3 linked regions of the Ovis aries genome follow. The main gene of each other region encodes a partner of the protein of the gene in region 2 in a complex. Links are inferred from orthologs where the notes say so. Each region holds a gene or a part of one and is shown on either strand. Other genes may lie near its edges.

Evidence for each region. The genes of interacting proteins can lie anywhere in the genome.
Region 1: IKBKG (region 2) and CHUK share a complex: the UniProt entries of both Homo sapiens proteins name them as parts of the I-kappa-B-kinase (IKK) core complex. The link is inferred for Ovis aries from reciprocal best matches to the Homo sapiens genes IKBKG and CHUK.
Region 3: the proteins of IKBKG (region 2) and IKBKB are in contact, whole or in part, in a crystal structure (PDB 3BRV), measured with the Homo sapiens proteins. The link is inferred for Ovis aries from reciprocal best matches to the Homo sapiens genes IKBKG and IKBKB. Residues at the interface, in NP_001093327.1 of Homo sapiens: Arg62, Ile65, Arg66, Asn69, Leu72, Arg73, Arg75, Cys76, Leu79, Phe82, Gln83, Gln86, Lys90, Leu93, Met94, Phe97, Ala100, Arg101, Val104; in NP_001547.1 of Homo sapiens: Ser705, Leu708, Glu711, Ala712, Leu715, Cys716, Leu718, Leu719, Ala722, Ile723, Asp725, Thr726, Glu729, Gln730, Gln732, Phe734, Leu737, Asp738, Trp739, Trp741.

The regions. Positions count from the first base shown.
Region 1 is NC_056075.1:20,875,449-20,879,552, forward strand, and holds the end of CHUK (inhibitor of nuclear factor kappa-B kinase subunit alpha), read right to left. Parts: exon of another isoform or gene 3,165-4,104; intron 3,111-3,164; coding exon 3,011-3,110; intron 2,266-3,010; coding exon 2,236-2,265; 3' UTR 1,074-2,235; downstream 1-1,073.
Region 2 is NC_056080.1:79,905,841-79,910,175, reverse strand, and holds part of IKBKG (NF-kappa-B essential modulator), read left to right. Parts: coding exon of another isoform or gene 1-80; intron 81-2,502; coding exon 2,503-2,621; intron 2,622-4,335. UniProt on the Homo sapiens protein: Regulatory subunit of the IKK core complex which phosphorylates inhibitors of NF-kappa-B thus leading to the dissociation of the inhibitor/NF-kappa-B complex and ultimately the degradation of the inhibitor.
Region 3 is NC_056079.1:36,495,304-36,499,638, reverse strand, and holds part of IKBKB (inhibitor of nuclear factor kappa-B kinase subunit beta), read right to left. Parts: intron 3,850-4,335; coding exon 3,726-3,849; intron 3,180-3,725; coding exon 3,028-3,179; intron 2,852-3,027; coding exon 2,790-2,851; intron 1,813-2,789; coding exon 1,703-1,812; intron 735-1,702; coding exon 685-734; intron 600-684; coding exon 500-599; intron 327-499; coding exon 179-326; intron 1-178.

The DNA.
Region 1 (4,104 bases), on a different chromosome or scaffold from region 2:
AATCTTCATTAAAGCAAGCCCTCCCAAACAACTTTACCTTTTCCCTTCAATAAATGCACTTACCTGGATCATCCCTTTGACTTTTACACCTAAGAATATATGGGACCTTGTCTGTACTAGATAAATGTTTGTTGCAGAGCTTAGCTATTTTGACCTACAAAAAGCAAAACGAATGAAAAATAACTCGTTTACTTCTGTTTTCTGGATGAATTATTTTAGTTTTTCATAGTATTGCTTGAATGAAATAGATATAATCCACAATTGAAATTCAACTCTGAAAACTGTCAACAAATAACAAATAGAGTGGTCAACTCATGTATCAAAAGCATATCTGAGGTGATCTCACTGTAATAGGCTGTTCTGACTCATACCACTTGCCTATATCATACAGATCAGGCTCTCCTGAGGTGGTATCAGCCACAAACCATAAAAATAGTCCCACCCTATACCAGGTCTTTTATCAGTTATTATAATGATATTTAGAAAATGCTCATTTCAAAAAGCCTTTAACAATAATTTCATTCCAAATAAACACTCTTATTGTACTGCCTGTGTTAATTTTTCTGATCTTCCCATTTTGCTCAGTTTCTTCCAAGCAACAGGCACCCAATAAATGTTTACTGATTAAAACCTTCTAGAACTGGAAGAAGCAAGAGAGAGACAGCCAGTTTTAATGGCTGGTAGCCAGAATGTCCATATTCAGAGAAACAGTAGTAGCAGTTGACTAAAAAGTTAGGCGAAGACAATCCCAAGGTCTCAAACTGAGATGACTGGAAAAATGACACTATTAGCAAAAATGGGGATGGTGTAACTAAGACAGCAGTTTTTAGGACATGGTATAAGCATAGTTTTTAGAAACAGATAGTGATGACAGGCCATCTCAGGAGAAAAGACTATATTAAAGAAGCTACCCAATACTGCCTTTACCGTAAGTCTGTTTCATTCCTAAGTACACTAAAAGCCTGTTATGTTACTCTGTGCTCCAACTTTGCTTCATGGAACCTTCACATTTTCTCAAAGCATATTCAATTATTCTGCTACAGTCTGGTTTTAATGAATAGAGATTCAGAAAGTAATTTAAAAATTGTTTAATATACAAAGTGAAAAACTGTCTAGAATACAAAAGCATTTCACATTTTTAAAACAAGTAATACCTTCTAAATTATTTAATAGACAATAGATCCACAATCCTTTATCTGAAACCCTGTCTGCGGCCATACCATCTTGAAGGCAACCCAATCTAGTCTTGAAACCCTTGGGGACAGATGCTTCAGAATTATGAAATTTTCAGATTTTAGAAAGGTAATTCAGTGCATATACCATACTACATAAACCTCAGGCAGGGTCTGTGCCAGCACCCTTCCCCCTAATAATCAAATACAGTAATATTTCTGCAGCAAAAGAAAAGAATATTCACACTAAATGGGATAAGTAGACTCACTGTCAATTCTTGTTGGATGTGCAAGCAGATGAATTTTGTCATCAATTTTATGAAAAATCTTGTTTTCAAAGATTTTTGGATTTTGGAATTATAGATAAAGAATGCAGATCTTTATAAATTTGTATGACAAGACATGAAAGATTCCTGAAAAGACCCATTTTTACAAATGAAAACAGATAAGCTTTCAAATACATTATAAATTAACAGGTATCTTCTCTTTGATATTATTAAATGTACATCTTAAATACATATACATATAGCACACTTAACATTTGGAAGAATCAATTGGTATTAAAGGCACAAATGCACAATCCCTTTCATAGGAAAGGGATACAATCAAATGTACAGTAAAATGGAAAATGGGATTAAACTCTCTTATGAGGCTGGGAAGAGCACTGTTAAGTGCAACACAAGTACAACACAAGCAGTCTCTTCCACAGAAACATAGGCAAACACTTTTTACTTAGAATACATGTTGAGATTTTCTTCTCTGTATACATTATTTTGGCCTTATGCCCAAAAGTTAAATGTTGAAAGAATCAGTTAAATAAGTAATGTTTTACCAAGTTTGAAGACAAATGGATTTAAGTCCACCGACTCATAAAATTCTATCTGTTCAGAAGTTAAAATTACCCAGAATCAAAATATTATGCTGTAAAATCATGTGGAGTTTCTGATCATAGTCATTTCTTCCATTGACTGGTATTTGAAGAATGGCTTCATAGGAGAAAAACAAATGTCTAACATGTGCAGCAACAACTTCATAGGTTTCAGGAGAGTCACTAAGTGGCAAGTCATTCTGTTAACCAACTCCAATCAAGACTCTAAAACCAGGCATGAAAAAGTTACCATTAGATGTTGACTCTAAGCAGTAGGTATATGGGTGTTCATTTTTGCAAGTTTTCTGTTTATTTGGAGATTTTATAATCAAAAGTTGAAAAACCAAAAATACAAATAAGTTACAATTAAAGAGTCTAGTTTACCTTAATTTCTACTAACAAAAAAAAATTTTCAAAGAGTTTTCAGATATTTGAAGCAAATAATGAAAGAGGAATAAACAAAGAATTAATATCAAGACTAAACATAGTAAAAGTTAATTCAGTAAATATTTTATTGTAGTTTCGCCAAGTTTTAACAAATCAGTAATTCATAGCAATCAAATCTTCATAAAAACACTTCTGTTAATAACCATATTAACATTATTCATTTTGCACACAACAGTTACTATATTTGAAGTACAGTACAAATTATGCCCCATCTTACTGGGGAAAACTGACTGCAGAAGCAAAAAAGTACAGACCATTTGATTTCAGTGGTCACACTGCAAAGAAAGCTCACCAATCATTTAACTTGACCAAAAATGCTATTAAAGATTACTGATGGTATAATCCTAGTATATCCATGAGTAAGAGAAGATGGGGAGTTGAGGTTAAGCATTCCTCAAATGCTGTTTGCTCTGAGTTCTATTCCCCAACTGAATCCCAAACACCAGATAAGTCCAGCATGGAAAGTTAAGCCCTTTGCACCCAACACACTTAAAACACACATCCATATTCATATAAAACTTACCATCATACTGTTGCCCTGTTTTTCATTTGCTTCATGAATAATAGTGCTTAAATGGCCAAGACAGTTCAAATTTTCTTCTATCATTTGTGCTAAAGTCTCCCTGTCGAATGAAAGCAAAAGGGCATATGAATTTCCTCTACTTTCTGATTTTCAGGGTCAGGATGATACTGCTCTTGCTACAACACCACAACCCAGCAACCCAACACAGCTGATTCCTGTTGTCTTCAGTTTGCTCATCCCTCCCACCCAGAGGCAGAGTCCTGTTTGTTACTCCAGGCTGCTGCCTCTGCCCAGCTCTAATGATAAGGAGTCCACTATAACGCCAATCTGATTTTCCTCTGAAATATAAGTAGCACTTATATACAACTTTTCCCCCCTGAAAATGCTCACTCGGGGAAAAAGAGATCCTGTGGCACAGCCAGATGAAAGATCTCTTTTTGTTTCTGGAACATTTCCTTTTCCTTACAAGTAGTAAAAACATCAGCATGCTTACTTCTGAGACACAAATGTAGGGGAAGAGACAGAAAAGATAAGCTATCTTTTCTGCAAAGATTAGGGAAGGTGAAAAAAACTGTGGAAAATATAGATAACAGCAATGAAAAAGAAAAGCAAGCTGATTCCTGACGACAGCAGAAGAAAACTATGACGGGGAGCTGCAAAGAACAAAGAAGTATCCTTGGAAATTTGAAGACAATCCTGAATCTGATTTCTATCTTCTATACTTTCCTCTTCCATATGGCCTCCATCCTTACCTTTTACTAACCCTCAGTCCCTACCCCAGTAGAACCAATTCCAGGCCATGGAAGATGGTCACTGTTAGCTTAGAACTAAATTCTCATTCAGCTTATTCAACAGATAGAAAAATTGAGGTCAACAGTCCCCAGTCCTTGGTGGTTAAGTACCACAGGTATATTATTACTGAAACCAGTTTTCCTTTTGGAAAATATATTTTTAAATTCCTGGTGAATATATTTTTGCAAACAATCATAACCTCACACTGAAAATCACTTGTATAGAGGTAACATTTGCAACCATTTGCATTCTCTAATAAACCCAAGTGTCTCTAATGAAAGCAAAAAGATATTAAAGTTTAT
Region 2 (4,335 bases):
CCCCAGGAAGAAACCGTGTCCCCATGAGCTGTCACTCCGCAGTCCCATCCCCCCAAGCCCCAGGTACCTGCACATCTCCTGTGAGTGGAATCCTGCAATGTGTGGCTCTTGTGTCTGGCTACTTTCTCTCAGCATCATGTTTTTAAGGTTCATCCATGCTATAGTTTGTCCAAGTACCTCATTTCACTTTATGGCTGGATGATATTCCAGTATAGAGAGAGACTGCATTTTTTTTAATCCAGTCTTCATTTGATGGACATCTGGGTTATTTCTACTCTGGCTGTTAGGAGTAATGCTGCTATGAACATTTCTGTGCCGACATGAGTTTTCATTTCTTTCAGGTAGATATCTAGGAGTTCACCCATTTTTTAGAACCAAATTCCAGACACCGTGTGATTTTTTTCCAGAAAAAGTTCCATGTGCATCTCTAAGAAATGACTTTGAAAGAAACATAACCACACCAGCACTGTCACATGTAAAATAGTACCATTACCTGCTAAGTGTCATCAAATAGATTCTAAGATACATCTTGACAGGATTTCCTGATGGATCTCATGTGAGCTGTGAGAGGCAGATGAGAATCAAGAAGGACTTGAAGGTTTTGTCCTGCCAACTAGAGCATGGGTTAGCCATCTACTGGTAACAAGGAAGGCCATGAGTGGAACTGGCTTCTGGGGATGATCAGGAGTATAGTTTTACTGAGGTTAGTTTTGAGAGGATGACTAGATATCCAAGTGGAGATATTCATCTAATAGAACAGGTGGTGTGGGCTATTTGCACTCTTAGATGAGGAAGGTCTCACTAAGTTGCCATCGAGTAAGCCTGGAAGACAGGACATGAGCCATATGGATATCTGGGGAAAGAATGTTTTAGAGGAGAGGAAAGTATGTGCAAAGGTCCTGAGGCAGAAGCTTACCTGTAATGTTCAGGGAAGACTAAAGAGGCAAGCATAGCTGGGGCAGAATGGAGAGGGGCTGAGGAGGTAGTCATGGTGGAGACTAGTCATGTGGGATTAGTAAGCCAGTGGAAGGATTCAGGCTTTGATCCTGAGTGTGACAGGAACCAGGGGAGGGGGCTGAGCTATGTGGATTCATCTGGAGTATGGAGGATATTATGGATTGTTATGTTTCCTCCAAAGAAATGTCCATATCCTAACCCCTAGTACCTCAGAATGTGACCTTAGTTAAACATGAGGTCTTTGCAGATATAACCAAGTTAAGGTGAGGTCACAGTAGCTGAGGATGGGTTTAAATCCAATGACTGGTGTCCTTAGAAGAGAAGCAGACATACAGGGAAGATGGTCACGTGATGATGGAGGCAGAGATGGAGTGATGCAGCTACAGCTGATGAATACCAAGGACCGCTGGCCACCCCCAGAAGCCAAGGCAGTGGGCTGGAGCTGATCCTCCCTCAAAGCCCTCAGAACTATCCAGCGCTGCTGACACCTTGCTCTTGGACTCCTGGCCTCTAGAAAGCAATCTGTTTCTGTTATCTTAACCACCTGCCAAATTTGTGGTCCTTTTGGGCAGCCCTGGGGAACTCCTACAGCCACAGGGGTGGAACTGGGAGCCTGGGCAAGCTTATTGTAGCTGCTCAGCAAGGGACTCTCAGTGGGCTGGGCCCAGTGGTGGGCTGGAGTGTGGGCATTAATCCATAGGGTGTGCCCATGGGCTTCAAGGTGGAGAAGTTAGACAGGCAGTCAGATAGCTAAGTTGGGTTGTAAGAGACAAGTCTGTCCTGGAGGTAGGACTCTGTAAAGTCTCAGCCTTTGGAGGGTACTGAAGGCCTTGAGACAGAGCAGGTCATCCTCACATGTGTATACATGGAGAGGGTCACAGGCCTCAGACTGCCTTTGAGAAGGAATGGTGGGCGGGGCTGTGTGCACATGTGTGAGTGCACGAGTGTGTGTGTGCAGGCCCCCAGGCCTGGCTGGGAGGTCTGTGTGGTGGTTGGTACCGAGGGGCGGGGAAAGCTGAGGACTGGGGCTTGACCCTGGGCTTGAGCAGGCCTCGGTCTCGGGACTGGAGTCTGGACAGCTTGAAGGGAGTTGGGCAAAGGGGAGTTGGGCCAACTCTTGCATCTTGTTGCTTGTGCAAATCTTCTGGAAATGGTATTAGTCCACATCACCTTCCAGTGGCCTGGGGCCCATGGAGCAGTGTATCTTTGTCACTCTGTTTGAATCTTGCCTTCCTCGGCACTGAGTCTCAGAGGTGGAGAGGCTCCCATGTCCCTGCCTCTCCTTTTGCCCCATCTGCAGGGATGAGGAAGGCCTGGGAGGGGGTGCTCACGGGACGGGATCTCTTTCCACTGCTTCAGTTGCCTGGATGAGGGGGAGATGCTTCCAGAGGTGGAGGTTAGGTGAGGGGGACCGCTGAGGGCAGCACTCAGGAGGCCTGTCACCGTGTTTCCAGGCTTCCCCGGGGACTTGAGTGTGCAAGGGGCAGGCAGCTGGCAAAAAAACCACTGCTGACAGAAAGTGGCTCTTTTTTTTTTTTCATGCAGCAGATGGCTGAGGACAAGGCCTCAGTGAAAGCCCAGGTAACATCCTTGCTGGGGGAGCTGCAGGAGAGCCAGAGTCGCTTGGAGGCTGCCACTAAGGAGCGCCAGGCTTTGGAGAGCAGGTGAAGTGACAGGGAGGGCGAGCCCAGCCCGAGGCCACTGCCAGGGCTCCCGAGGAGAACAGGACCCTTCGGGAGCCTCCAGAAATGTCCTCTGTGACAGGACACACAGGACTGGGGGTACTGGGCGTCCAGGACCTGGGTCTCAGTGCACCTGTGGGCTCTCTGACCTTCTGCTGGAGTTTGTCTTCTTTACTGAGTGGGTGTTTCTGGGGTGGTGTGAAAGGGCACGCCTGTGGGCTGCAGGGAAGCCCTCCCAGCTGAGAATGATGACAAGGAATGGGCACACACCAGGACCCCCAAGGGCAGAAGACACGGGTCAGGGGTGAAGACCCCCATGCCTTTGGTTCCCTCTCTCCCTCCCTTGAGGGGGCCCCAGCACGCTTCCTTCATAGGCAGCAACAGAGGCCCCCCCTGGAGACCTAGGGAGCCCACTCGAGATTCAGCGCCATGAGTATTATTGAGGGCTGATGGCTACCAGGCATGTGCCAAACTTCCTGACTCCCAGAGGAAAGCTGGTGCGCCCTGTAGACCACCCTGTGGTGCCAACAGCTGAGGCACAGAGACCACCCTTATCAGTAGAGAAAGTGTCGCATCAATGTCAAGGACTCGCACCAGCCTACTGCCCAGGCACCATCCCCGGGCCATCCTTGCACACTGGCCCTTCTGAAGTCAGCATCCTTAGGTCCTCTGGTGGCTCTCTTCTGCAGTGGGAGGTTTCTGCAGGTGAGGGTATTGGGTCAAAGGGCACGGATGTTTCTGTGGATCTCACGCCCCTCCACTGCAGATGCCCCAAACTGATGGGTTTGGGCTACAGGGTGGCCCCAGCCCTCGCAGCACTGGAGGTGGTCAGGGTGCCCCGGGTGGTGTCCGGGATGCCTTCCTGAAGGAGGCTAGGGGAACAGGCAGGAGGTAAGCGTGTGTGAGCGTGCCGCCCTCTAGGAAATGGATGGCGAGTGGGGAGGCCACTCAAGGATGAGCCTACTGGCTCTGGGATTGTTGCATCCTGCCGTCTCCCCAGACATGCCTCAGTCACTCAGTGTTGGGAAAAGGCACATGTAATTTTTAGGATACTCTGGTATCTTCTCTGCCTATCTCTTTTTCTGTGCACCTAAAAGAAGCTGCTGGAGTTGGGACACTGTCAATGCAGTTTTGTAACTGCCTTTGGTCCTCTGTGGAGAAGGCAATGGCACCCCACTCCAGTACTCTTGCCTGGAAAATCCCATGGACGGCGGAGCCTGGAAGGCTGCAGTCCATGGGGTCGCTGAGGGTTGGACACGACTAAGCGACTTCACTTTCACTTTTCACTTTCCTGCATTGGAGAAGGAAATGGCAACCCACTCCAGTGTTCATGCCTGGAGAATCCCAGGGATGGGGGTGCCTGGTGGGCTGCCGTCTATGGGGTCGCACAGAGTTGGACACGACTGAAGCGACTTAGCAGTAGCAGTTGGTCCTCTAACGACCCTGGAGGGCCGTTATTCCAGCAGTTATAGGCTCTTGGGCACCCTGCTTTCCTATCACCCCACCTCCGCTTCTACCCCCTTGGCTGAGCACGTATGTGCTGAACTACACAGCTCAGGGCAGGAGGTGTCTCCCATCAGGCCCCTGGCAGGTGGCAGTCCCATCCGATGATGGCAGTGACAGGGCTGGGTTTTGTCAGCTCACAGACGGGATCTGCGTCTGATAGACTGGCCCAGGTGTGGAGAGATGCTGGGAC
Region 3 (4,335 bases), on a different chromosome or scaffold from region 2:
GGGTCAGAGGCAGAGACTGAAGTGATGCTGCCGCAAGCCAAGGAGTGCTGGAGCCAGTGGCGTCCGAGAAGTGGCGAGGAGGGATTCTCCCCTTGAGCCTCCCGAAGGGGCCCGGCTCAGCTGATGCATGGACACCAACCCTGCCGCCTCCAGGACAGGCCCGCCGGGGCTCACTCACACACGCGATCTTCAGGAGGTTCCAGAGCTCCTTCTGCCGTTTCTCCTGCAGCCGCACCACCGTCTTCTCATCCTCGCTCATCAGGCTGACCACCTCCTCCACCTTGGGCAGCAGCTCCAGGGCCTTCTGCTTGCAGACCACGGTCTTACTGTGAAGACCAAGTGCGATGAGTTCCAGCGCGCCCAGGTCAGGGGGAGCAGGACGCGGGCCCCAGCGGGGATGACTCTGTTCGGCCACTGCAGCTGGCAGCTCCTCCAGGGCCCAGGGGAGGGGATGGGGCCTCTCCTCATTCCACCCTCCAAGGGGACAGCGGCCTGATACCTGAGCTGCGTGTAAATCACTCGCACTTTCTTCTCAAAGCCTTGGATTGCCTGGAGGAGCAGGCGCACCATTTCCTGACTGTCACCATCAGTCCGCTGGTCTGCAAAGCGGGACGGAGCCGCACGGTCTGTGGGGGGCCGGTCTGGTGCCCGGGCAGTAGGGGACCCGGGAGGCGGCCCACTCACCTCTCGGTTTCTCCCTCAGCCTGCGGTAAAGCTCCCGCGCCTGCTCTTCTCTGAAACACACAAGGCAGCGGCTCCATCAGCGCCAGAGCTACTGCCGGCAGCATCAGCAACTTCTGGAAGCTGGGCAGGCAGCACGTCCTGGCCAGAGGCAAGCACGCTCCCTGGGGATGTCACGGGCGAAACCCATGACAGAGGAAGACCCGGCTCACTGTCGAAATGCCAACTCAAAGCTCATGGTCAAGACTTCCTGAGAGTCCTCAGGACAGAAGCCTCCTCTGTCCCTCAGCATTCCCCACCCGCCTGGCCCCCGCAATTCAGAGGTGTGGGTCCTGAGTTCAGAGAACGTGGCCTCTGAAACTCAAGCCAGGAGCAGACATGCCCTCCCCAGGGCCCAAACACAGTGAGATGGACTGATGTTTCCAGGGGCTGACTTTTGTTTGAAAACCAGAGTAAGATAAAACACTGACTAACTTGACAAAATACAGGCTACAGATAATCAGATTTCAAAGACTGGAGCCTCCGGTTCTAAGAATCCTGGCAGAAGCATCAGAGGCCTAGCTGAGCCCCAGGGAGGCTCTCCTGGTGCCCTCGTCTGCTCCCGGAATGCAGGAGGGGCTGCTCTGCCCAGGGAGGGTCCCTGGAGCTGAGGCCAAAGTCCTGATCACGACTCAAATGAAGAGTCAAGGTTCCACCTTCTAAGACTTACCTGGCTCCCTCCCTTCCTACTTCCTGCTTCTCAGGGGTATGCTGGGCAGAGGGGCATCTGACCTGATGCTTTGGAGTTCACGAACCATGGCTCGGGGCGTTATCTGAACTGGTCCCCACAACTGTGAGGTCAGACAGCTCTTCTGTCTCAGGTGAGGCTCAGAGGGACGGAGGTCTGCCCGGGCTCAGCTTCCAGATGTGCCGAGAGGACCTCCCCAGGACCGGGCTGCACAGGAGGGCGCGCTCCAGAGGAACTGCGCTTGAACAGCCCGCCCGTGCGCCCGCCCGCGCGCAGGCACATGCACACACTCACAGGTCGTCCAGTGTCCCGCCCTGCTTCCGGCCCATGGGGCTGCGCTGCAGGTCCACGATGTCCGTCTGCAGGGCCATCATCCGCTCCACCAAGTGCTTCACCTCGTTCTCCTGGAGACAGAGCCACGCTGAGGCTGAGCCCCGACAGACTCGGCCAGGGACTCCTGAGCCTCACCATGGACCTTCAGCTGCCCGGCTAGAAGGGACATGGCCTCGGGAGTCTGTGGCCAGGATCTAGGCCTGCCACCCGCCAGCTCTGTGGCCCTGGGGCAGGTCACCTGGCCCCAAGCTGCAGTCTCCCCCACTGGAAACTAGGGCAAGATGCGACGGGGCCTGAGGGGACCTGGCCTGGCCCCCGTGTGGAGACGAGCCGGGGCACGCTCCCCTCTAACTTGCCCTTGATCTCAAGGGTTACGCCCACGAGGACAGAGATCGTGGGGAACGGGGGGCAGGGGTGGAGTGGTGGCTCACATCCCTGTGCCTGAACAAGGGGTCACCCACCTCGAACAAGGGGCATCAGCACCGATTTATAGAAACAGACGCTTCGACATGGAGGGGAGGCTCCCTGCCCAAGTTCACTGGGCAGATGGTGGAAAAGTCCAGGAAAAGGCCTTGGGGCCCAGGCTTCCCCCTGAGCGAGGTCCACAGGGGCACCCCGCCTCCCTGCCTGGCCTCACAATCAACACTGTTCAGCGGCATCGGATTCACAGCCCTCAGACTTGCCCCTTCGGACCCGTTCCTTCCTACGGGCTCAGTGTCCCGAGGAGGAAGTCAGGGCAACTTCTGACACAACCAAGTGCTGCTCCTTTATCCAAGGGCCCTTCTCGCGGGAAGAAGTCTGTACTCCCCAGGACGTGTCACGTCGTAAGCCTGACTCAAACCTGTGTGGCTCCCGGACTGGCCACACTGGGGACCTCTGCCTGGCACCCCCTACCTCCTTCCAGCAAGTGCTAGCTGAGAGCAGAGAGCCTGGTGAAGAAAATGTGATTTTTGACACAGAAGCTAGACCAAGCGCTCAGTGAGAAAGGGGAGAGATGGCAGGGAAGAGGGTGCCCTCGGCAGGGCTGGGAACCCAGGGAGCCTCCTACCCGTCCGCAGAGCTCCACGGCCTGCTCCATCTCCCTCCAGGCTAGCAGCAGCTTATCCGACGCTGGAGGAAAAACACGGAGGGGAAAACAAAAGTTAAAAAAAAAAAAAAGAAAATACCCCAAAACCAAGAAAATAAAAAGGCACTCCATTATAACACAAAAAAAGAAAAAAAGAAAAAAAAAACTTGAGAAAGGATTTTAACGGTCTCTCCAGATTGATTGCAAAGGACACACTCACTGATCCCAAACTCCGTCTGCTCCCTGTACTTCTCCAGGTCAATCTGGATGCTGGTTTTAAAGAAGTCCAGCTTGGCTTTGAGCTGCTGAGACATGGAGGCCATGGAGTTCTTCATCTTGGACAGACAGCTGTTGTTCCGCAGAAGATTCATCCTGCAGGGGCCCCCAAGAGACACACCACGGGTGTGTTTGGGATCCAGGTACCACTTCCCGGACCATAATAAAACTGGCCTCCAACACCTTGGCAGGCCCCTGCTATAATTAGTATAATCACAACAAGTGCAGCCACATATAACCATCACGACAATTTCCTGGCCCGTAGCGATGGGTGAGGCTCTGCTCCTAAACTAGAATTAGGTGAAGTGCCACGCAAAGGAACCCAGACCAGCCACAACCTGGGGAAAGAGTCAGCCTGGCCCGGCAGGGTGGCCGACCCACAGTGGAGCTGGGCCAGCCCTCCGGCCGGCCGCCCCCCACCCCGTCCACAACCCTGGTCCGCGCGCTGACCACATGTGCCTGTTGGGTCTAACAGGCCCTCCCTCCATCCTGCCCACCGATGGCTTCCCGCCCTTCCAGAGCAGCGTCTTCCCTCCTGCCCCTCCCGACAGCGGCTGACCCTGGGGCCCCGCCTCGGCCCCCGCCCCGCGGCCAGGCCACAGGGCACTCTAGGCACATGGTGCCCTGCACCTGGGCACCTACATGGCCGCGCGCTGGCCCTGCTGCAGGCGGCTGCAGTCTTCCTTCAGGGCCTGGATGCTGTGCCAGACTTGGCCCCACACCTTCCGCAGCTGGAAGAACGGGAGGTTCCTCTTGGGCTCTTGCACTGAATGGAAACACAGGCGACAGTCAGGGCGCAGTGCCTGCGGTAGACGACAGCATCCCACCCCTGGAGCCCGCTGGCTCAGCCACACTGGTCGGTTATGTAACGGCTCAGCTATTATACAACCGCCTTGGGTGTTGAGCCTGCCTCCTGTTGCTCACTTTTGCGCCCCGGGGTACACACACGTCCACATTTACAGATGCACAGAACACCTTGGAAGGAAGACTCAGGAGTCTGGTGGCAGTTTTCCCTGGGAAACTGGGGACACGGAGGAGCTTACTCTTCACTGTATTGTTCTATTGTACCTTTTGGTATCTTGTGCATATATTAATTACTAACGTACAAAGACAATTTCACAAATAAAATGGTTTTGCGATTCAAGGTCAACAGCCTGTGGGCCATCTTCTCTGTCCCGTTTAGATGAGGCTGAAATTAACTGAAGATGCCCTGTCCTGCCTCTGGTGGGGCTGCTTCTCACATGTACGACTG